Drosophila melanogaster: one gene and its partners. The protein of the gene in region 1 interacts with the protein of each later gene in a pairwise test. Each region holds a gene or a part of one and is shown in the gene's direction. Other genes may lie near its edges.

Region 1 (4,958 bases):
TGGGGCAAAGCAGTTTTCAAGGCCGTCAAAGATCAACTGATTTCGATAACTTTTCGATAGCGCAGAACAAGTGAAAAGTGACACGCACACGCAAAAACAAAAAGCAAGCACTTCACAGCTTAACACCCTAATGTGCAATATTTTTGACTACCCCACATCCACGCACACAGCAAACGGCGCTCTTTAACCCACCACAGCCCCCTTATTTTGTGTCGAACATCTTCTTCTTCCTATCGAAGTGTGAGTGAGAGGGAAGACCGTAAGGAGTGAATGAGAGCGGGAGCCTCCTCCCCGACCTTTATAATGCGTTCTCTTTTACTCTCACTTATTTTATGCATTTTTTTTATTTTATCCAGTTTTGTCTTTTCTTGTTGTTTGTTTAGATCTTTGGCATTTTTGCAATTTGAATCCTATATTATTTCTTATGGTTTTTATTGGTTTTTGTATTGGTTTATTTTTACGATAAGTGTCTTGCTATAGATTTATCTAAATCGAAAGCTTATTAAAATTGCATTTGTTAAAGAAAAAGAAAAAGATATAATATTTTGCACAATTTTAAATGTTTTTTTCTACTAATTTTTTGTTACTTGCAATTTATCTAACACTTTTTCTTTGCTTTTTTTTCTTCGCCTCCGTTTTTTTTTCTTGCTGTCTCCAGTGCGTTAAAACGCCAAAGGGGCGTCCCTCTCCAGCTAACGCCCCCACCACCCCCCGCCACTAGTGCTCTCCCTTTCGCACTGCTAACGACAAGTGACAAACACAAGTTGCAGAAGAGGCAGCCGAACAAAAACAACAACTAAAAATAAAAAAGAAGGAAAGAAAAAAGTTTTTGCGACCAACAGTTGACAGTCGAAAAGCATTTGACATTTTACCTTGGCACGCACACAAGCACCGCCAAGTGCGAAAGGGACAAAACGCGGGCAAATGTCACTTTGAAAAATGCCATTGGCCCGGCCAGCGAGTGTGAGCGAGAGGGCGCGACGGCCGGAGAGCGTGAGAGCGAGAGAGCGCCATTTTGCGCATCTCTCAATGAAGCAACAATAAAAAAACCAGTTGCTTAGCAACGCCCCCTCTAACCGCAAAAAAGAGAGCTGGAGAGCAGGAGAGCCAGTGTTGCAACAACAATGGGCAAAATGGAAGGGCAACAACAGCAACAAAAACCAAAAATATCCTTACAGGAACAACGCCAGCACCAATCTTGAGAAAAGGATCAAAAGCCCAAGATCAACAGAAGAATGTGTGTAGAATTTAAAAAAAAAGTGAATTTTTGGATTTTTAAAATCTTATGAATCTAACAAGCATCTAGTAAGGCTAACTAAATATTTAGTTATCATGCTAAATATATCAAAATTTTCAAAGAACTTATATTGTGTATTATCGAACAATCACCTAAATTAAATCCTAAAAAAGGAAAAAAAATTAAGATTTCTTGATATTTTTTTCCAATTGTTATGAAATTGTATATCCTTTTCCAAAATATTTTTAATAATAATCTAGATATGCATACCAAATATTCTAGTCATATTTTTTCCATTTTTTTAGAAAACGTTTTGAAAAACAATTTTTTTATTTAAGAATAATATGATTTCTTCATGCCCAACACGAGAGAGCCAGGAGAAGCGACGGAAGCGAGAGCGAGAGAGCCTGCGACTCCATTGCAGCGCCGCCAGCAGCGCAGTCGGCGTCGCAGCAGCCCCAGCTCAACATTCGCTGCATCTCGCTCTGGCGCAGGCGAAATATGCGAGCACTGCTTGCCGCATTCGGTAGCACGAGTGCGAGCGATGCGCCTGCTAGCATCTCGCTCGCACCCAGGCGCGCCATTCGTCGCCGCTTCGGCTCGCCGTTCGTGTGTGTGCGTGTGCGCTCGGCTGGCAGCTATCGGTAATCGGGCCGTCCGCTTTGCCGTCGCGTTTGCCGTTTTCCGTTTTCAGTTTTTGTTTGACGTTCGCGTGAAGCGCCCGCAAAACGCAAAGCGCACGAGGCAACGCTCGAAAAAGGAGCCAACGCAGCCGTTTACCGTTAGTCAGCTGTTTACCGTTCCGCCGCGAGATCGAAAACCGAGAATTTTTGCCGTTGTTCAAATTTTTTTGCAAGTGAGAATCTTGAACAACAAGAAGAATATACAACACATAAATACAACAAAACCAAGGAATCGCCGAAAAGCCGATAGTGCAAAGTGTTTAAAAAGAAAAGAATCAATTTCATATACAACAACTAAAGAAATACTGGAATATAAGGCATAATAGAAGCGGAGGAAGTTTCTTCAACTCAAAGAGGAGCGGAATTTCGCGCTTTGTTTTTGTTTTGCCAAATTTGCCGCCGGCACACACGTGCTATCCCCCTCTTGCTCGCACCTTGCCACCCAGTCTTTATGTGCGTTAACCGTTAAGTGTGCAGTTGGGGCCCGCTCCTATCTTTCTCTCCCTCTCTCTCTCGCTTCCGCACCCGCACACACACACATATATCCACACCCACGCGCGCCTCGTTCACATACGCACACACACGCGGGACTTAACCCATTGACGGCCCCCCCAAAAAAGCAGTCACTCTTAACCCCCCCGAAAAAAAGAAAAACTCCATCCCCCCGGCATCAAGATATTCGACAACAAAATTCTCACCGAGGCCTCAAAAGCGCCCCTGAGGGCCGTCGCACTGGCGTCATATCTGGGCGACGGGTTCGCCGCCCTCGGTAGCCGCGCCCCCCCGCCCAAGGACCATCTGATGGCGTTCGGGGCGGTACTACACACCAGCCAGCACAATATCGGTAAGTGATCGTTTTGGGGAATTTAGGCATTAAGCGGTTAAGGGTCCAGGAAAACATAGAAAATCTGGGGGGTTTGCAGTGAGAATCCCAAACAGGCAAGTTCTTAAGGTTAGTCACATATAGGATACTGCAATCGAAATCATTTCATCCAAGAATCAGCACTAAATCTTTGAGTTGTGCTTGTAGTTCTATAGAATAATATCATTGGGAAGTCAAGGATGAAACATTTTACAGATCGAAAATAGAAGTTGTTTACATCTAATCTAGATTAAGTAATATTCATGATGTCCTCTATCGAAATAGAATGAAAACACCTGTTTGTAGGCTTCGTATAATATTTAAATTGTTTATAAAATCTGTAGACGAGTGATCAATGACACCAATGACACATTTCAAAAATACTTTTAAAAGATGGCAAAGAAGTGAATTTTCGAAAAATGTACTGACAAAAAAGTGGAATCTATTAAAAATGGCTTGATCGCTATGCCGACGGGATGTGGTCTTAGATTTTCAACTGGTGGTAGAAAGACATAAGAAAAGTAGGGTCGAGTGCGGTCGAAAGTCCTTAAAAGGAAGTCAACCCCTTGAAGGATCGGCGAAATGCGATCCCTAGGATGGTGGGTTAATACAATACCGCTTGCCCGCAATGGGTTAAGATGGCCAAGGAGTTTTTAATGGCGACGGCTGGGCAGCAGCAAAGTTTTTGCACTTTTGAACTTGCTTCCCGTTTTTAGGGGACCGCCGGCGAGGAGGAGAGGGGCGTCTAATGCCCCGTCGTCCATCTGCCGTCTCTTTTTCGCATTACCATTTTGTATGCTTTTGAAGTTCTTGTTCATCTGTTTTTGTTTCGGTTTTGTTTTTCCTCCTCTTGTTTTCCCGTTCGTTTTTGGACTGAAAAACTTTTGCGCAGTTGTCAAAGTTTTTCAGCTTCTTCTTCTGCCGTTCTTCCTCTACCCCATCTCATTTTTTTTGGCTTTTGTTTTATTTCATTTGCTCTCTGTCAAATTTTCACTTTTGCTGACTGTTTAATGTCAGGAACAAAAAAAAAAAAAAAAAAAAAAAATAGTAAAAAGGGAGCAAAAAGTTCAGAAATGAAGGCTCCCCTCTAGTTTTGTATTTTGTGATTAGTTGGTGAGGAATATTTCGTTTATATGTATGTATGTAGCTCCCCATCAATTTGAATAACTATAAAAAACATTTATAAACTACAAAATTAAGGATCTGCAGAGATTTAGAGACCGAACACTCTTTTCGAGTATATTTTGGATTCTTATCAAAAGAAATGAAATGAGAAATGATTTAAGTACATATTAGTAAAAATGTAGTAAGGTATTTTATACCACAAAAAATTTTTCAAAAATATTCTAAAATCCTCAATAGCTTCGTTTTCGAACCAGTGAGGTTCGATGGAAATTGCAACTGCAAATTCTCCATTTAACTTGTTGACATTGGACATACAGCGGCCGACACCTTACTTCCCCCATAAATTGGCTAGAGAACTGTTGGGGTTTTTGGGCTTGGGGCCTGCAGCTCCGGGGGCGGTTCAAGTCAAAAGCTGTCGACATTTGACTGGAAAATGGATGTTCAGGAAGCCGTAGACCCGCACAGTGGGCCACCTTACGACGGCGGACTGATGCCAAGTGGAGTCGTAAAGCTGCCAAGCTTTCTTCTTCCTGCTTCTACTGTTTCTCGGTTGGATTTTTTTGTTTTTGTTTTATTTCTCGCTCATAGACATACCCATTAGCTAATGACTAAGTGTTGGCAGTTATGAACTTAACTTGCATTTAGTTGGGGAAAACTACAAAGTAAAGTACCACTGAATATAACTCGGCTTAATGAAGATAACTTTTCCGCGCAGTAGCTGTATCTTTTTTCGAAAGTTCGTAAAGTAATTTGGAATCAGGAAAGATATCCAATTTTTTATGGTATAGTTAAGGTTTTGAAATGAGATGGAAAAAATGTATTGGAAATACTTAAGATAGGATACCAATTTAGGTCGTTGAATCTTTGGTAATGTGTTTATTCTTAAGGAATTTAGTTTTCAAAACTTCAATAGAATAGGGTAACCCCTCGTCGTTCAATTACCAATATCATCGGCCATTTCTCTGGTCGACTGCTCATTTTTCTTCGCATATATCTTGGTGGCAGCATCTTTTCAATTTTTATGTTGCTGCTAGCGAACACGGCAGCAACA
Region 2 (3,688 bases), on another chromosome or scaffold:
CAAGCGCGCCGCTGGGTGGGTGATTATCTGGCCAACTCGCAGGAGAACAGCGGATATGAAGCCTACAACGGAAGCATAAAGAACATAAGGAACCACCCCGCCGACGGCGAGACCTTCCAGCAAGTGCTCTTCTCCTCATTCGTCAAGAAGTTCAACCATTTCAACAAGCAGGCTAATCGCGCCTTCATCGTTTCCGATTCGACCATCCACAAACTGGACGGTATCAAGAATAAATTTAAGGACATGAAACGCACCATTAAAATTAGGGAGGTTAGTAGATAGTATAATAATATATTATATTATTATATTATAATATTAATTCCGTATCTTGACTTCGCTTACAGTTGACGTCCATTAGTGTCTCACCCGGCCGGGATCAACTAATCGTCTTCCACTCGTCGAAAAACAAGGATTTAGTGTTTTCCCTGGAGAGCGAGTACACGCCCCTCAAGGAAGATCGCATTGGCGAAGTGGTGGGCATTGTGTGCAAGAAATACCATGAGTAAGTGGAACGCCCATTTAGTATGTTCACCAGATATTAATATCAAATCCTTTCCAGCCTCACTGGAACCGAGTTGCGTGTGAATGTGACCACCAATATTTCCTGTCGCCTAGACGGCAAGGCACGCATTATTACCGTGGAGGCGGCGTCCAATGTGGAGGTCCCCAACTTCCGTCCTAAAGAGGGCAACATCATTTTCGAGGTGCCGGCGGCGTACTGCGTTTAGGCGGAATCAACTCCGCCCAACTGTATTGTAAATTATGGAACCTAGTTTTAAGACTGGGCTCATCACCCTCTTTTCTACTTGTGACCCATGTGTCCCACCAAGGACATGACGACTCTGTGTATACCGTGCCTTCCGCCAAACACCCGCTTTGTAGTTTTTAATACGTCATTCTATAGTTAGTCCTATCTGTTTATCTGTTCTGTGTGTGACGACATGATTGTAATTTTGTACATTTTTCTATTATGCGTATGCGTTAAGGCGATATTTATTTAACATCCATGTGAGAGGAATACCACCTCCGCCGGTTGAGCTGGCCGACGAAAAGAACGAAAAGTATTAAATGTACTTTGTGCATTTCTTCAAATATGATTCACAGCACACAAGAAACCATTTGTAACGATCAGTAAAATGTTTGTACTTAAAGCGAAAGATCACAAACATATGTGTGCCATTTGCAAATATTATTGAAATAATATATGAAATAAAAGATGTAAACTTTGTACTTGAGAAAGCTGGTTAATGACTATTTTTTTATATCAATAAGTTAAAGAGAAGTTAACTTACCAAACATAAGCATAATGTGCATAAGTTCCCTATCCCAACCTTGATCTGAATTGAACCCATTCAAAATTTCGGTCATTTCGTCATGAATTCCCCCAAAATGTGCGTTCGGCATTTGAATATCTGTGAGTTTCTGCATCTGTGAATCTTTTTCAAATGCTGCTTTAAATCCAAACGTAAAATCCGTACGCATTCGTATGCGAATGCGATCAAAATGTATTGGCAGAGACCGAAATAAAGTGCACATGGCTCGCCGCCGATTGATAAAAGATAAAAATAAAGAGATCGGCCTCTCTTTATGCGGAATGTGCGCTCGCATTCGCCTGTAAATTCTCGAAGGGAACGCGTGCAATTCGGAGCATCGAAGCACCCAAGGTGATTACATAAAGCCAGAAAACCAGAACCATGCAGAAGGCCATCAAGAAGGAGCTCAGCTTCTCGCTGGACACGCTGGAGCGCTATAGGGCCAAGTACGGACGCAGTGCATCGCTGGACACAAACGGCACACCAATTGCACACACAGACGGCGACCAGGCTGCTCCTGCGCCGCCACCGCCCTCGATCTTCACAAAGTCGTTGTCGCCACCAAAGATGACCAAGCTTCAGGAGTTGCAGCAGAAGAAGGAGGCCTATTTAAGGGCCAAGGAGCACGAGCGGGAAATGGAGCAGCTGCAGCGCACAGAAAGAAGGTCCATCATAAATGGTTCGGATACGCCCAAGCCCAAGACAGGCAGTCCAACGAGCACTTCACCGACTCCCAATGCAAGTTCCTCGTCAACCGCTGCCGTGGCTACCAAGACCTCCAGTCCAGCTGGCTACACCAACTGGTCGAATCACCATGCCACACTCTGCTCCCAGTCGTGGGTGGCCATCTCCGAGCTCATGTACTTTTGCGACAAGTATGAGTTCACCACCCTCAGCACACGCGATCTGAGGACGCACCAGGAGATCGTGGCCGAGGTGAGAGCTCTGCTGTCCGGCAAGGCGCCCTTCGATCAACGCACCCGCTTCCCGGGTAACATTCACGATCCGGAGAACTTGTGGGTTTGCATCGGTCGCTGTGCCAGCGTGGAATACCATCTGCAGCGCATCATCAGCATCTTTCGCAAACCTCTCAATCAATTGACACCGGACAAACAGCGAACGGTGCGTCAGAATTTCCACCTGGCGGTCAGCGAACTGCGGCTGGACATCTCGGCGAGGATTAGCGAGGTGCGGCTGTACGATCGCCTGGTCTTTGAGCGCGAGTTCCGGCTGGAGTGGCTGGATGAGGAGGCCTAGTGGATTAAATGGTTTAAAGGATGAGTTAGGTGGACAATAACGTTTATTGGCAATTCTTCGCTCTTTTTTGCGGTGCGCGGTGGAAAAAACGGTTACAAAAATACACTTGGACACAGGAGGCCGGAGCATGGAGCACACGACTATGGTAACCAGTGTGCTGGCTGCTCCATTCAACATACATATAAGGGGTATCTCGTCAACTGATCATCATTATGATTTCTTTGGCTGCAATTGATTTGCTTAGTAGTTAACGTAAGGAACATTTTCAATCAGAAAGATTTTACATAAATTCTGTGTAGATTCTATTGTACAAAGCATTAGGACAATCATAATCAAAATCAGTTGTCGCACATGCCCATATACAAAGTTAACCACATATTTCACAAATCTAGGCCATGGATTCCTGCAACAACTGCTCGCACAACTAAATCTAAAGGCCGCCGGCGGTCAGGTGGAATCTGAGGATACAGCTCGAGCCTGTCCGCCGATCAGGACAACTTATTGCTCCGTAATACGTAATACAAACATTTATATATATGTACACAATGCTAGCGGTATAAATAAAGCACTTTTGTGTGGGCCAACATGGATTTGCTTGCGAACAAGTGTGCTGCTAGTGCGGAGTGCTTTAACATCTAGCGGAAGATTCAGGTTGCAGATTATCATAGTTCTTTTTGGATCCCAGGGATCTCTTCAGTGGGTTCGTTTAACGTGCAGCTAGTCAACATCTGTGTAATCTGTAATCTTTAATGCCAAAGAACATCGAATGGCGGAATGAACCTAGCAGAACTTGAGCTTCATCTTGCTGGTCTTGGGCACATTACGGATGGTGAGGGAGATGCGCGGCGATCGGCGTACTAAGTGATCCCCGATCTTGTAGGTATTCTCGCACAGATCGTAGTTGGAGATGCGATCGCAGAGCACATCCTCGCTAGTCTCGGAGATGGCGTGCAGATAGTCGGTGTACAGCGTGTCCTTGAGGATGAGCAGGCTGCGCGGTTCCAGCAGCAGCTTGAAGAGCACTTCACGGGTCGTCTGATCTCCAGCTTCTGTTTCAGTTGTGGTGTCCTCACGCTTGACAAACTCCAGCACGGTATGAGCACCCGTGGAAATGGTGG
Region 3 (7,849 bases), 7.4 Mb from region 1:
TGAGTGATGCATTGTATTTGAGAAGCCTTAAAGCTTAAAGCTTTAGGTTAACAAGAAACTGATTTGGGTTTGGTTTATAAGTAGTAAGTAAACTTACTTGAATGAATTTTAGTTAGAACCTTATATACCATTTAAACGTATGGTATGATATGTAATACTTAAAGATATTGAATGTTAAGAGAGTGCTTTTTATTAAGTCCTGACCATTTCCTGGAAGTCCAACATTGATGCTAACGCCTTGTGGGTATGCAACATAATAATGCGGTCCTTATTGTTATATTTTTTTATGGTGATTAATGCAAATAGGATTTGTTCCGTACGGTTTTTTTTCGCTTTAAGAACTTTTCTCGGACACTTGTGTGGATAAATTGAAGAACAAATGTGGCCAAATATGTATGTGTGCTTTTGTATCCTTATGTGGGACATTCCGGCGTCTAGCAAATACATACATATACTGTGTGGGAGTGTGGGTGAGAATTATTTTAATTCGGCAATGAAAAGGACAATGAAACGACAAGGAGCTGTGTATATGTGTGTAGGTGCTGCTATCACATAAGGCACTTACATACCGAAGCTGTGCAATTTACATAAGTTATACATGCATACATATGTACATACATATATAGTGGTGGTGGGGGCGGTCATGGTGATAGGATCGTTGAGGGACTGCGGTAGGGGTGTGGGGTGGAAAGAGGAAGCAGCAGCGTCGCTTCTTTGTCACCAGTGCTCGAATTCCATTGGTGCTGTGTGGCGACAGGGAAAAAAAATCGAAGCGAATCGCCCCCATTGCCAAAGTGTCACCCATACACAGATACACCTATACAGCGACATTCGCACCCACACACACACCCATACAGATGCACAGCGCAATCGCAAAACAAAGAGAGCCGCTCAACGCGGCCATTCGTGCGGGTGCGATAGGGACGGCGAGAGGGCACAGCACCGAGTGGACAAGACATCAAATGACAAAAATTTCAAAAGAACCTTCGTGAAGAGAAGCAGAGAGGAGAAGCCCAAGACAAAAAGTGACGTCGCAGCAGCGACAAATTACGTACTGTGTACTGTATACTGTGGCCATTGCCATTTCACTCTCGTTGCTCTCTCCCTCTTGCGCTCTTGTGCTCCGGCTCCCTCTCTCTCGCTCTGTCACACTATAGTGCCCGGCCATGTACTCACACCATCGAACCCAAGGCACCCATACCAGCAAGCGGCGAGAGCGAGCGCTGCGTTCTCTTTGGCTGGCGGCAGTGCGTGTGAATGTGTGTGCCGCACTGACCACACACACACACGTCGCATGTCGCATGTGTCAACCCAACGAAACGGTTTCGTCCACTCAGACGACAGTGTGCGAGCGGGCGCGAGATAGCCGCACGAGCGTGCCAAGCCGCTCGCACGCACGGGACGGCGCTCTTTCGCGGCGTGAGTAAGAGAGTGGTGGCTACTCTTGCCTCGCACTGCTTTGCCGACTGGGCGAGCGGGATGGACTCAAGTGCGGGCGGATCTCTCGCTCGCACTCGGGCGAGTGCCTAATGACCCATCGACGACAATGTGACGAAGGCCAATTCCAATAGCGCGCTCTCTCACACTCTTCCAGGTGCAAGAGCGAAAGAGTGAAAGAGAGAGGGCGCAAGAGCGAGCGGGAGAGCGAGCGAGAGAGAGCCAAATGTCACCCACCCCGCGTGTGCGTGTGTGTTTGTGTCAGTCAGTCGGTGTGTCGGTGTCGGTGTCGCCGCATTTGTCGCTCGCTCTCTGCCCGCTGCGCTGCCGGCGTCGCAGTCGCCGCACAAATTCGTTGGTGAAACGACAAATCGACAATCAGTGTCACCCACGACATTCGAAGAAGTGGATCTCTGCTGTCCCTGCTCTCCGCACATCCGCATCTTCGTCGCTACTTCGTTTGCCACTCCGCATATTCACATATTCGCATCCGCATATTCGCGTCCAGTCCACTCTTCTCTCTGCCGCGCGACCCAGTGCATAAGTGTGCGTGCATACGAGCGTGTGTGTGTGTGTGTGTGTGTCATCGTCAACTGTGAACGACCAACTTTTTTAATATCTCAGCAAAATGCAACAAAAATAAATGCACCACGGGCATGAAAACAACAACAGCACACAGCTCCAACAGTGAATTCTACCATCTGAATTTATCAACTTTTTACGCAACAAAATATCAAAACAAAACAAAGCGAAAGAAACCCTTTTTTTAAATCTCAAACCTGTGACAAAGTGAGAAAATCTAAAACAAAAAAAAAAAACAGCAATAAACCAAAATACAATAAAATATCTACAACTCGCTGCTAAATTAGCAAAAGGTATGTATAGTTCGAGTAAAGTTGATTTGCCGTCGGCACTTCAAGCAAAGAATTCAAATTCAAGTGAAGTCATAGTGAATATTTTTCGAGATCAGAGGAGTATTTTCTAAAAAGAAATCCTGGTGCCATAAAAATATTACCCATTCAAGAATTGTGTTATGAAATAGGAACGCAACAATAGGATTCTTTTCGTGGTAAATAATGATCTTGTTAGGATCACATAGGCTGCTAGTGGCATTAATATGGTATTACCATTTTCATGGGATCTCTGGTGATGTGCTGCCATCTTTTACCTCTAGTCTATGGATTTTCTTATAATATCCTGACTTTGCTAAATTGAAAACAGCTTGTTAATCCAATGTTCGTAAACCCATTTTTGTCTATTTGCTGCGTGAGCTTCGACGACAAAAAAGTGATGTCTTCGGGGGAAACGCCAAATGTCAAAGTTGTAATTAAGATTTTTGTCTGCGGTTTTCGAGCTCTGTTTTTCTCGTTGATGTCCGGACCATCGGCGTTGTCATCTTTGGACCATCGCATGCCCCTTGCATGCCCCTTGTGCCCATCGACTCCTGCTTATTATAATGTACTACTATTAACAGCAACTACAACAGCAATTATAGCCGCCGGATTGCTCACATCTCGGCATCTTCCATCCCCAACTGCCACACACCGTACTCCACAGATCTTGGATCTACCATCTACCATCTAAAGCGTCTCCCAACTCTCGGAATTCTTCAATCTTGTCGTTTCTTGTCTTGGGTACTTTCAACATTTTGCTGCCTTTGCCACTGCCGATAATCAAAAAACGTTTCGTCCGAGAGCCATCAAAAGTTGTGATTGGTTTTTCCCCTACCCCCAGCTGCCCAACATCACCCCCCCTTTCACCATCGGTGGCTTAAGACATTTTAAGCGTTTGACAAAAATAATTACCCATGTACATGCATACTCACCTCGATCTGTCGACCGCGTGCACTGAGAGAAAATAGAGAGGTTGTTATTGTTTTCCGTTGCGCCTTATTGTGCTATGCAAGATTGTTATGATGCTTAGATCTTGAATTGTTTTATATTGAAATGTTAAAAGATCTATATTTTTTTTTGAGTTGAATCTCTTTTTTAAAAGATTCTTGGAAGATAAAAAGGTATAGGCACCTTCAACTCATATGATATAGTTAACTTATAATGATCTAGAAAATTATTGCAACATCTTTGGGTCATTCTCTATTTCTTGAATGGTAACAATATTTTCGGCACCTAGTCAGAAACTGATTACTTCCAAGTACCTGACAATTAAGTTTTTTTTCCCCCCTTTTTGCTCTTCTTTTTTTTTTCTTGCGCTTTCGCATTTTCGCCGTGTGTACATACACTCATTTTAATGCTATTGTTGTCATCGTTACTAATGAGCCCCATAAAAAGCGACCATCTCCTGGCTTCCTGCAACTGTGTGCGTGTTACCTGTATGCCTGTATGTGTGAGCCATAGTCGTATGTGGTTTTCGGCTTAACTTTTTAGCTGGCATTGGGCAAGCGAATGCGAATGTGTGTTCGACTTTTGAGATCGAATCCAGATAGCCAGCCACGACATCGCACACACGATCATCACCATCGTCATCCGCATCTCACCGCAATTGTCCCCAGTTTTGTGACGCCCCTGGGTTCGGTTCACTTCTTTTTTTTTTTTTTTACCCCTGATTTGTTTCTGTTTTTAACGTCAAGTCGACTGCTCACAATTACGGTAGCGAACGGAGTCCACAATAAAAAAAATGAGCTAGCTCTGGCTTTAGCTTTGCTTTTGGTTTTGGTTTTGGCTTTAACTCCGACCGATCGGATCCAAAGTCGAAGTCCGACACTGATCGCCGCATGTTGTCGTCGCCGTCGACGTTGTCAGAGGCGATTTTAATGGCCAGAAGAACCGAAAAAGCTGTAAAAGATTTCGCTCGAGTAAATGAGGCAATGTGCACTTACACAAGTAATGCGCCAGTGTTAGTGTACAGTGGGCCTTGGCTACGACAGAAATTGGGTGCATAGGAACCAAAATGATAAAGATTAAACAAATGATGTAGCGTCAGTCACTGGGATACCCCTTTTGATTATTTCAAAATACAAAACATGGCAACTCTAGTTGTTCTACTGTACTATCGGCTCGACATGAAAGATATGCCGCCATCGGTGTCGCCGATATAAATGTTCGCTTGTCTGAGTTATTGTAAGCAGTGTGTGTCTTACCAATAAATCTAGCTGGATTTGCACAAAGTTGGCTAAGCTCCTTGGAAGCTTTCACTTGGGAATTTCGGTAATACACTTGAGATATGACTTTAGAGCGCTTTCCAATGCTATAGATTAGTGCTTTTGGCGTGGCAATGCAGTCATATGTACATATACATTCGCCTCAGATATTAATCTATATCTTAAGGATATCGAATATTAATTAATGAAAAAGCCATTTGAACAGCAATGGGGTTTTTTTTTTTTTGAAGCACACAGCTGGCAGCCTTAAAGACTTTCTTTTAAATCTGGATTTCAGAATGTATCTTACAGCAATGACCAACTAATCGCTGTAATCCACTGATTAATTGAGACCCCCCCCCAAAATAAAGTTTTCTCCCCTTGACTTATTCGACCGTCTTGACTTTTCGCACTCTAATTGCGCATCAATGACCACTGCCCAATGTCCCAGGTCCAGGAGTCAATGTCCATGTCCCCGGCACCACAGACCATTCAACAATTTGCCCTGCTGACTCTCGGCGATAAGGTTGATTCCAGTTTCCCAGTTGTAGTTGCGCAATCGGATTTGCCCCGCAACCCTGGCAATAGTTTTCGATTAGGACTGACCGATTCACTGACTTCCTGATTGACACTCCCTGATTGACACTCCTAACGATTCGTTTCTGTTTCTTGTTTGTTTTCCAGGCACCACCAGTCATCGCCATCGCCATCGCCAGCGCGACCATAGAAACAAAATCCACCACAGACGACATGGAGCACATAATGAATCCGTTCATGTCACCGGCTTATCTGCTGGGCCATGGCCCACATTCCCACCAGCATGTGCACTCCCATCTACCGTCACACCCGCAGCCAAATGCCGCCTCTCCGGCCAGCTCACCCGGCGGATCCAGTGGCTCTGGATCGGGATCGGCAGCGGGATCGGGCACTGGATCAGGTTCATCCTTAAAGCCTCGTCGCTGGGGCTCACCGCCCATCAATCTGGCCGGTCAGTTTATCAATCCAGCCACGGGAAAGAAACGAGTACAGTGCTCCATTTGCTTCAAGACCTTCTGCGACAAGGGCGCCCTTAAGATTCACTTTTCGGCCGTGCATCTTCGCGAGATGCACAAGTGCACGGTGGAGGGCTGCAATATGGTGTTCAGTTCGAGGCGTTCGAGGAATCGCCATAGCGCCAATCCGAATCCCAAACTCCATTCGCCACACATCCGGCGCAAGATCTCGCCGCACGATGGCCGCACTGCCCAGCAGTTTCCGGTTTTCTCGCCCGGAACAGCCGCAGCAGCGGCCGCTGTCGCCGGACGACTTCCGGTTGCCTTTCCCGGACTTCTGCCACCGCCGCCGCCGCATCATGGTCACCATCCGTACGTCATGTTCGGCGGACAGGCGGGTCTACATGGCTTGGGCCTGCTTTCCACCGGCTGTCAGGATCCCGATTCTGGATCGGTGGACAATGAACAGGATGCTGATCCCGAAGATGACAACGACTTTGTGTACGTGGACATGCAGGCCAATAGCTCTAGTCCGGCGGCCTCCAGCGAGGATCAGGAGGAACACGAACGGGATAATGAGCAGGATGAGGAGATGCACTGCAGCTTGAGCCTGGCCAGCAGTAGTAGCATTGCCGCCGATGAGGAGCGGGCAGCTGACCAGCCATTGGATTTCAGCCTTCACAAGCGTCGCAAGTCGGAGCAGGATCGGGAACAGGAGCAGGAGCAGGAGCAGGAACGGGAGCGGGAGGCGGAAAAGGAGCAGGAACAGGATGTGGAATCCGACAAGGAGCACGAACCCGAACAGGAGCATGAGCTGGAGCGTGAGAAGCGCTCGCCCAGCGATGCCTTCTCCATGGATCAGTTGCTGGGCAAGCGTAAGCGTCACGACAGCACCGCCTCCAGCTCCGCCTGTTCCACGGCAGCCGCCTCCTCCGCCTCTAGTTCCTCCGCCAGCGCTAGCGCCAATCCACCACAGACGAGCATCAAAATGGATCTGGACCCGGATAGCGACAGTGCCTACATGACCAGCCGGCGGCAAATGCTCCCACTGCCCGTTCTGGACCTCGAGGAGCATCATCATCTGCGCCTGCTGCAGACCCAGATGTTTGCCGCCGCAGCGGCTGCCGCTGCCACCAGCCAGGCACCGCCCACCGCCTTCCTGCCGGCGGGATCACCCGTGGATCTGGCCAAGGACTCGCCGCCCATGTGGAGTCTCCTCTCCGAAATGTACCGCTCCATGCTGCTGAAGACACAGCACCAGCAATACAACCACCATCACCAGCTGCAGCAGCAACACCAGCAGGAGCAGCATCATCATCTGACCCTGAGCCACCACCATCAGGAGCAGCACCATCATCTGGGTCATCACCACATGGGTCACCACCACCATCATCACCATCAGCACCACCAACAGCAGCCGCAACAGCAATCGCCGGCGGCCACGAATGCGCCGATTTCCGTCTAATGTCCAGACTGCTGATCCATGGCGATGATTTCTAGATGATTTCCTTAGTCAAATTTGTTTTTATATTTTTTTTTTGTGTGTGAATCGTATTTTAAGAAGAATACATTTGGTGGCGTGCTGCATTACACAAAAAGGTGGAGCTTCAGGTGGTGGGGCTGTGCCACAGCTTGACCATTAAATGGCTGGCACTCCTCCTCAGGCGCGACCCCGCAACACCCGCAACCAATGCCACTAAGTACCCCACCCCCCCCTCTGAAAACTGGAATTGCTCCGAAACTAAGCTTTTTCTGCTCGTACATGTGTTATATGGATTTTTTTTTTTTTTGGAAACCTATGTATAATGTATAATGTATACTGTAGTGCGACATCTAAGTGTATAGTATTCAATCCGTTCCTCAGTGTGAATGTGCAGATGCATGAATGAGAGTGTGTGTGTGTGTGTGTGTGGGATCCCAGGATCGGATCCAAAAAAAAAAAAAAATTAAAGTCTGTCATCTGAAAAGCGGGCTGGGCAGTGCAGAAGCGGGGATTTTGGAACGGGTTCCGTTTCCCTGCCCCCTCTATCGGTGTACAACGAAGTATTGATATTTATAACGAAATATATATTATGAATGGCATATATTAAATAGTTTTAAGACAATTTTTTTCGTAGCCAATAAAACTATATTGTATTGTATAACTTGGATGTACTAACACAGCAAGCAAATTCTATTGAAACATATCCCCCCCGTGTGTTAAAAAAATAAAAAACCAGAAGAGATTCAATTCAACCAATCCCTAAAGAAAAAAAATAAACCCAAAAAAAAAAAAACAAAATTATAAAAATCCATCGCAAAGGTTGATAGATCGTAGGTGAAC
Region 4 (4,864 bases), on another chromosome or scaffold:
GAGTGCGCCTCGATCCCTGCCCGATCCTGGCCAGAAACTCCCGCCACAAGCGCTTTAGAACAGAGTCCTAGACGAGTGTGGTGCACGGTAGGGTCGGTGGCCCGTGCCACATCTAAGGCGCCCCTTTTTTCGGATTACCCTGCTCGGCTTTAGCTTCGATTGCTTGCTCACACGTCGCCCGTTCGACTTAATAACCCGAATAGATTTGATTCGCCCTAAAAACTACAATTTTGACTGTTTTAAAACGAATTCTTTGTGATATTTTTCGGATTTGTTAATGTTGTCTACTGAGTCAGTGAAAGCGTTATCGACACGTTCAGACTGAATGACGGGCAGGGCGACTCTGCACGACAAGTCGGGGTGGGTGAGAATGAGGTGGCACAAAATTTGTAATTGCATTTATATGGTGAGTAATACATACTAAACGAAATAATAGTATTTTGATTTATGTTGTTATATTTAGCCCATAAAATAGTAAGTTAGGTCTTACAAACAGCGCTACCAGATCCAGTCAAAATTGAGGAAGCCTGAACGTCTATAGGCCTCCCAAAATGGCGTTGCCATGAAAAATGACAGCTGTTCGCTGCGAATGGCTATTTATGTTTGTTTTGACTCGGCTTTCGAATATATCGCAAAATATATACAGGAAACATTTATATTCACAAAAATCTGTACGATGCACCCAGGGCAAATTGAGGTCAACGAGATCAATGGCTATTGGACATTTCTGCTGAGCGTAAGATACTCGCCTATATACAATCAAAAATCAAGAATCCGGCAAGTTGTCACTATTTTTGCAGATCGATTGGAAGGATCCCTGGCTTATTGGCCTTATTTTGGCGCATATCTTAACCACCACCACTGCGCTGCTCAGCCGGAACAGCTCCAACTTCCAGGTTTTCCTCTTCCTAGTACTGTGTACGTGGACTTGGCGGCTTCCTTGACTTACCCGATAAATGACTCTGATTTTTGCATGTGCTTCATCTTCCTCAGTGCTGGCAGTCTACTTCACCGAAAGCATCAATGAGTTCGCTGCTAACAACTGGAGTTCCTTTTCCAGACAACAATACTTCGATAGCAACGGCCTGTTTATCTCGACAGTTTTCTCAATACCTATTTTGCTTAATTGCATGCTTTTGATTGTAAGTTATAGTGTTTCCACTGCATGAAGTGTGTATTTATCTTTGCTTATTTGCAGGGCACTTGGCTCTACAACTCCACGCAGCTGATGGTGACTCTAAAAACAGCGCAGCTCAAGGAGCGAGCTCGCAAGGAACGCCAGACTAAGGCGGATTCGGAATCCATAGCACATAAAAAGGCAGAGTAGAACTTACGCCTGTATTACATGCAGTTAAAAGCACAAGTAGAGCTGTGAAATTATATGTTATGCTTTAAATGGATTTTCCTGTCATCTAGATGTAGTTTGCTGCACAGCTCTCGTCTTTAAAATAAATTTAATTTAGTATAATCAAACTTATAGAATTTGTAAATTTAGGCTATTTTTACATCCTGTTTTACTTAGCGAAGTTACAAACCTAACATGCCCTTCATATTAAGCAAAAAATCACACCAGTTACCGTTGCCACCTTGGTAAAGCAGTTTTTACTGCCACCTAAAATTTTCTATATATATCACGTAATATGAACTATTTTGATATTTTTGACGAAATTAACATTATAGATCCAATCAGCTTATTGCCTGTATCAATTTCTGATCTGTGTGCCAAGACTGTAATTTCAAATTAGAAGCTCGTTGGACCTGTGTCATTTTTTAGTACGAATTCAATTGGGAGCCCTTCGTCGTCTGGTAACACTGTCCAACGATTTTGTTGTTGCTGGCTTGTGGGTGTCGAAGCAGTGTCGCGGCGCAATGTTGGAAGTGGTTTTTGGGTAAACAAAATCCGTTGATAAGATATTCGCACGGAGCTAATCGCAAATCGCGCTGCGTATTTACCGTTGGCAAGCCAGAAAAAAGTTTTGCATAGCATTGCGGTTTAAAGCCAGGCTCAAAATTCCTGCGAGCTCGCTTGTGTGTGTGCGTTTTTGCCGTCGGTGTGTATGTGTTTTGAGCCCATAAGCGTAGCCCGAAAAAAAGAAGTTTTTCTGTTACCATATTTTTTACCAAAGGCCAAAAGGGCGCAGCATCTTCGCTCTCTATCTCGGCGCTGCATCTTGCTCTCTCGTTCGCTAACGCGAGTTTGGCAACTCCGTTTACCGTTCATCGTTTATTGTGTGTAAACAGCAGGTGAAAATAAAACGCGATAAGTGCAGAGAAACAGGAGAAGGAGGAGAAAGAGCAGCAAGAAGAAGCAGCAACTCCGCGCAGCCCAACAAAAAGTGACGTATTAAAAAAGGTTGCTAATTACAAAAGGTAAACAACAAATAATGTGCGGATTATATTACCAAATTCCCGGGCATAAACAATACCAATAAAATGTTGCTAAGATTGCCCTTCCACCCCCCTCACTTACCCACTGAAATGCGTAGTAGATTTCCGCGATAGGAAAACTCGGATGAGTGACGCGTTGGCGACGCAGCGCACAGTGTTCATTCATAAAAAGTGTCTGCCCCCCTGCGCCCACTCCCAAAACACTCCCCCCTCCCCTCCACACTTTGAACCAAGCCTGTTTGTGGTTGCGCCTGGAATTTAGTTTACAACTAAATATGTTTGCGGGCAGCTAGGAGGAAAGTTCGGATTTGGTTGTTTTTGCTATGTGGGAAACCATAGTTAAACTATTTGCATTCCGTTGGAAAGTCTAGTGGTTCACGCCACGCCCCATGTTCGCTCGTTCACGAAATTATGAAATTGTGTAAATTATATTAAAAAGCTTAACGGGTATATTGATATCTCCTCTATAATACTTCATACAAGATAAGTTTAAGGAACTGAAATGTTTGAAGTTTTAATGAATTTCCTTAACTATTGCGTCTGGTTGACATCCAAGTTCGCATAGTTGAAAAATTCCATATCAAACTGAGCCGCATGCCTTAATAACTAGACCTTTTGCTCATTGAGATTAGATCACATACCGCCATATGGCAGTCGGTGAAATGATTAGCTCAGCGAATAATTAAGCGTCGTGCGAATGAAAAGTCACACACACACACACTGCAACTTGGTGTTTAGATTAGAGCATTTTGTATCTTAGCCCACCTTTGGCAATCGGTGATATCGAATAGCAGGAAAAACAATAATACGGAATTTATGGTCAGCGTGTCGCCAAAATGCCAAAGTCAAGCGAAATAAATACATAGAAATAATGAAAGAAAAAAAACAATCAAAATAACTCGGTGACATCATTTTGACTAATCGCCAATTTTAGCATTTGAAAAACGGCGGCTGCTCGCCCGGCCCACCAACAAGCGCGCGAAGGTGCGAAGGAGAGAGTCCACCAGGGAGGGGGCTGCGAGCGAGTGCGGGAGTGGGAGCGAGAATGAGAGGGGGAACACTCGTGGCAGGTGCGCCAAGCCGAAGTTCAAAACGAAGCTCAAACCCGAATGCCAAGCGGCATTCCGAACCACCTACAAGTCGGCAAGTAAAATGGATCGAATGCTCTTGCGATATCAGCGAGTTTCACTTTCGAGCCCCTCATCTATACACGAATACTATCTGCAATCGGAACAATCACTAGATAATCCCACGATCCAACATTAAGCGCATTGCTTTTATCACAGGTATTAAATCAAAGCCATGCATTTGGAAAAGTGCGCTTGCCATTTGCCAAATTTAAGTGGCTTTAATTGGCTGGTTTTTACGACTCATTGGCATTATGACGATCTTTAAATTTTACGATTAAATGCATAAATCAGGTGTTGAAGTGTAGTGCAAGTGGTTGCTACATATACCCCTACATAAATAGAATCACTCCAGAAAAATATGGCATTCAAGTTGAGTTAACTACTGGCTTGTATTGTAAGCTAAGAAATTGTTAAGTGGTAGCTATTCTCAAAAGCTTGCGCACAGGGGTGCCTTTCTTTAACTCATTATTATATCCATTTATATCCATTACGATCAAATATTCGTTATATATGGAAAATTGCCTAGCCTACCGTGACTCTATTGCCTGCCTGTTGATATTTCCCCCGCGGCAACTTCGATCCGATGCAATTAACTCGAACATATTGTGGCTCATTACGAGGGGCATTCCAATCTGAAGACGAAGCGACTCGATCTAGTTCACAGATACAGAGCTGCATACACGCATCCCACTGGTTATTTCGGTTAATTTTGATGTGTGCTGCTAAGAGCCGAGAGTGCAGAGGACTAGGCACCACTGCTCCACATCCCCAGATATTTCCGACACTACGTGCGCTGCGATGCGACGTGTCGACCGGGTGGGTGGAAATTTGGAAATGTTGTGAAAAGCTAAATGAGGCGTGACACGAAAAAGAAGGCAGAGGGGAAAAAAGAGCAAAGCGACAAACACGCAGAGCAGCATGGAAAAAAAAAGAAAAAAACAAACAAACAAACAGAGCTGAGTGCGGCCACCCACAACATGACAGCCGCCACAACAATGGCCATAGTAGCGTCGAGGAGCAGAACGAGAACGTGGTGCCCACCAAATCTAGCCACGGAGTAATTTCGGCCTAGAAAACAAAGAAAACGAAGAAAACTGCCCAGTTGTCTGCGGAAAAGACAAAGGAAGAATGGAAAACCAAGAGAGCGGAATGAAAAAGGGGGACCAATTCCGCACAAGGCGCACAATTAACCCTTTCTTTGAAGTCAGCGGCGAATGTATCCACTGTCCACTTTCCACTGGGCTTTAATTAGTTTATGGAACAAGCGTCCCGGCTCGGCTAACTGCAATAAAATTAATCGTTTATGCTGTAATCGCATTTAGCGGCGCCGACCTCCTTTCCACTCC

The links.
Region 2: the proteins of Lim1 (region 1) and CG13144 interact in a two-hybrid assay, tested with the Drosophila melanogaster proteins (one large-scale study listed by BioGRID).
Region 3: the proteins of Lim1 (region 1) and disco interact in a two-hybrid assay, tested with the Drosophila melanogaster proteins (one large-scale study listed by BioGRID).
Region 4: the proteins of Lim1 (region 1) and Dyb interact in a two-hybrid assay, tested with the Drosophila melanogaster proteins (one large-scale study listed by BioGRID).

The regions. Positions count from the first base shown.
Region 1 is NC_004354.4:8,802,770-8,807,727, reverse strand, and holds the start of Lim1 (LIM homeobox 1), read left to right. Parts: upstream 1-1,923; 5' UTR 1,924-2,721; coding exon 2,722-2,764; intron 2,765-4,958.
Region 2 is NT_033779.5:10,489,371-10,493,058, reverse strand, and holds CG13144 (uncharacterized protein), read left to right. Parts: upstream 1-1,604; 5' UTR 1,605-1,694; coding exon 1,695-2,570; 3' UTR 2,571-3,159; downstream 3,160-3,688. Other genes in the region: Myo31DF (myosin 31DF), read left to right, coding at 1-270, 345-502, 560-728; CG6144 (uncharacterized protein), read right to left, coding at 3,351-3,688.
Region 3 is NC_004354.4:16,210,714-16,218,562, reverse strand, and holds the start of disco (disconnected), read left to right. Parts: upstream 1-1,812; 5' UTR 1,813-2,312; intron 2,313-5,218; 5' UTR 5,219-5,284; coding exon 5,285-6,991; 3' UTR 6,992-7,849. UniProt on the Drosophila melanogaster protein: Required for the establishment of stable connections between the larval optic nerves, the Bolwig's nerves, and their target cells in the brain during embryonic development.
Region 4 is NT_033778.4:12,435,521-12,440,384, forward strand, and holds the start of Dyb (dystrobrevin), read left to right. Parts: upstream 1-1,824; 5' UTR 1,825-1,869; coding exon of another isoform or gene 1,870-1,889; 5' UTR 1,890-2,370; intron 2,371-4,864. Other genes in the region: Tmem18 (transmembrane protein 18), read left to right, coding at 677-736, 801-918, 994-1,142, 1,199-1,327.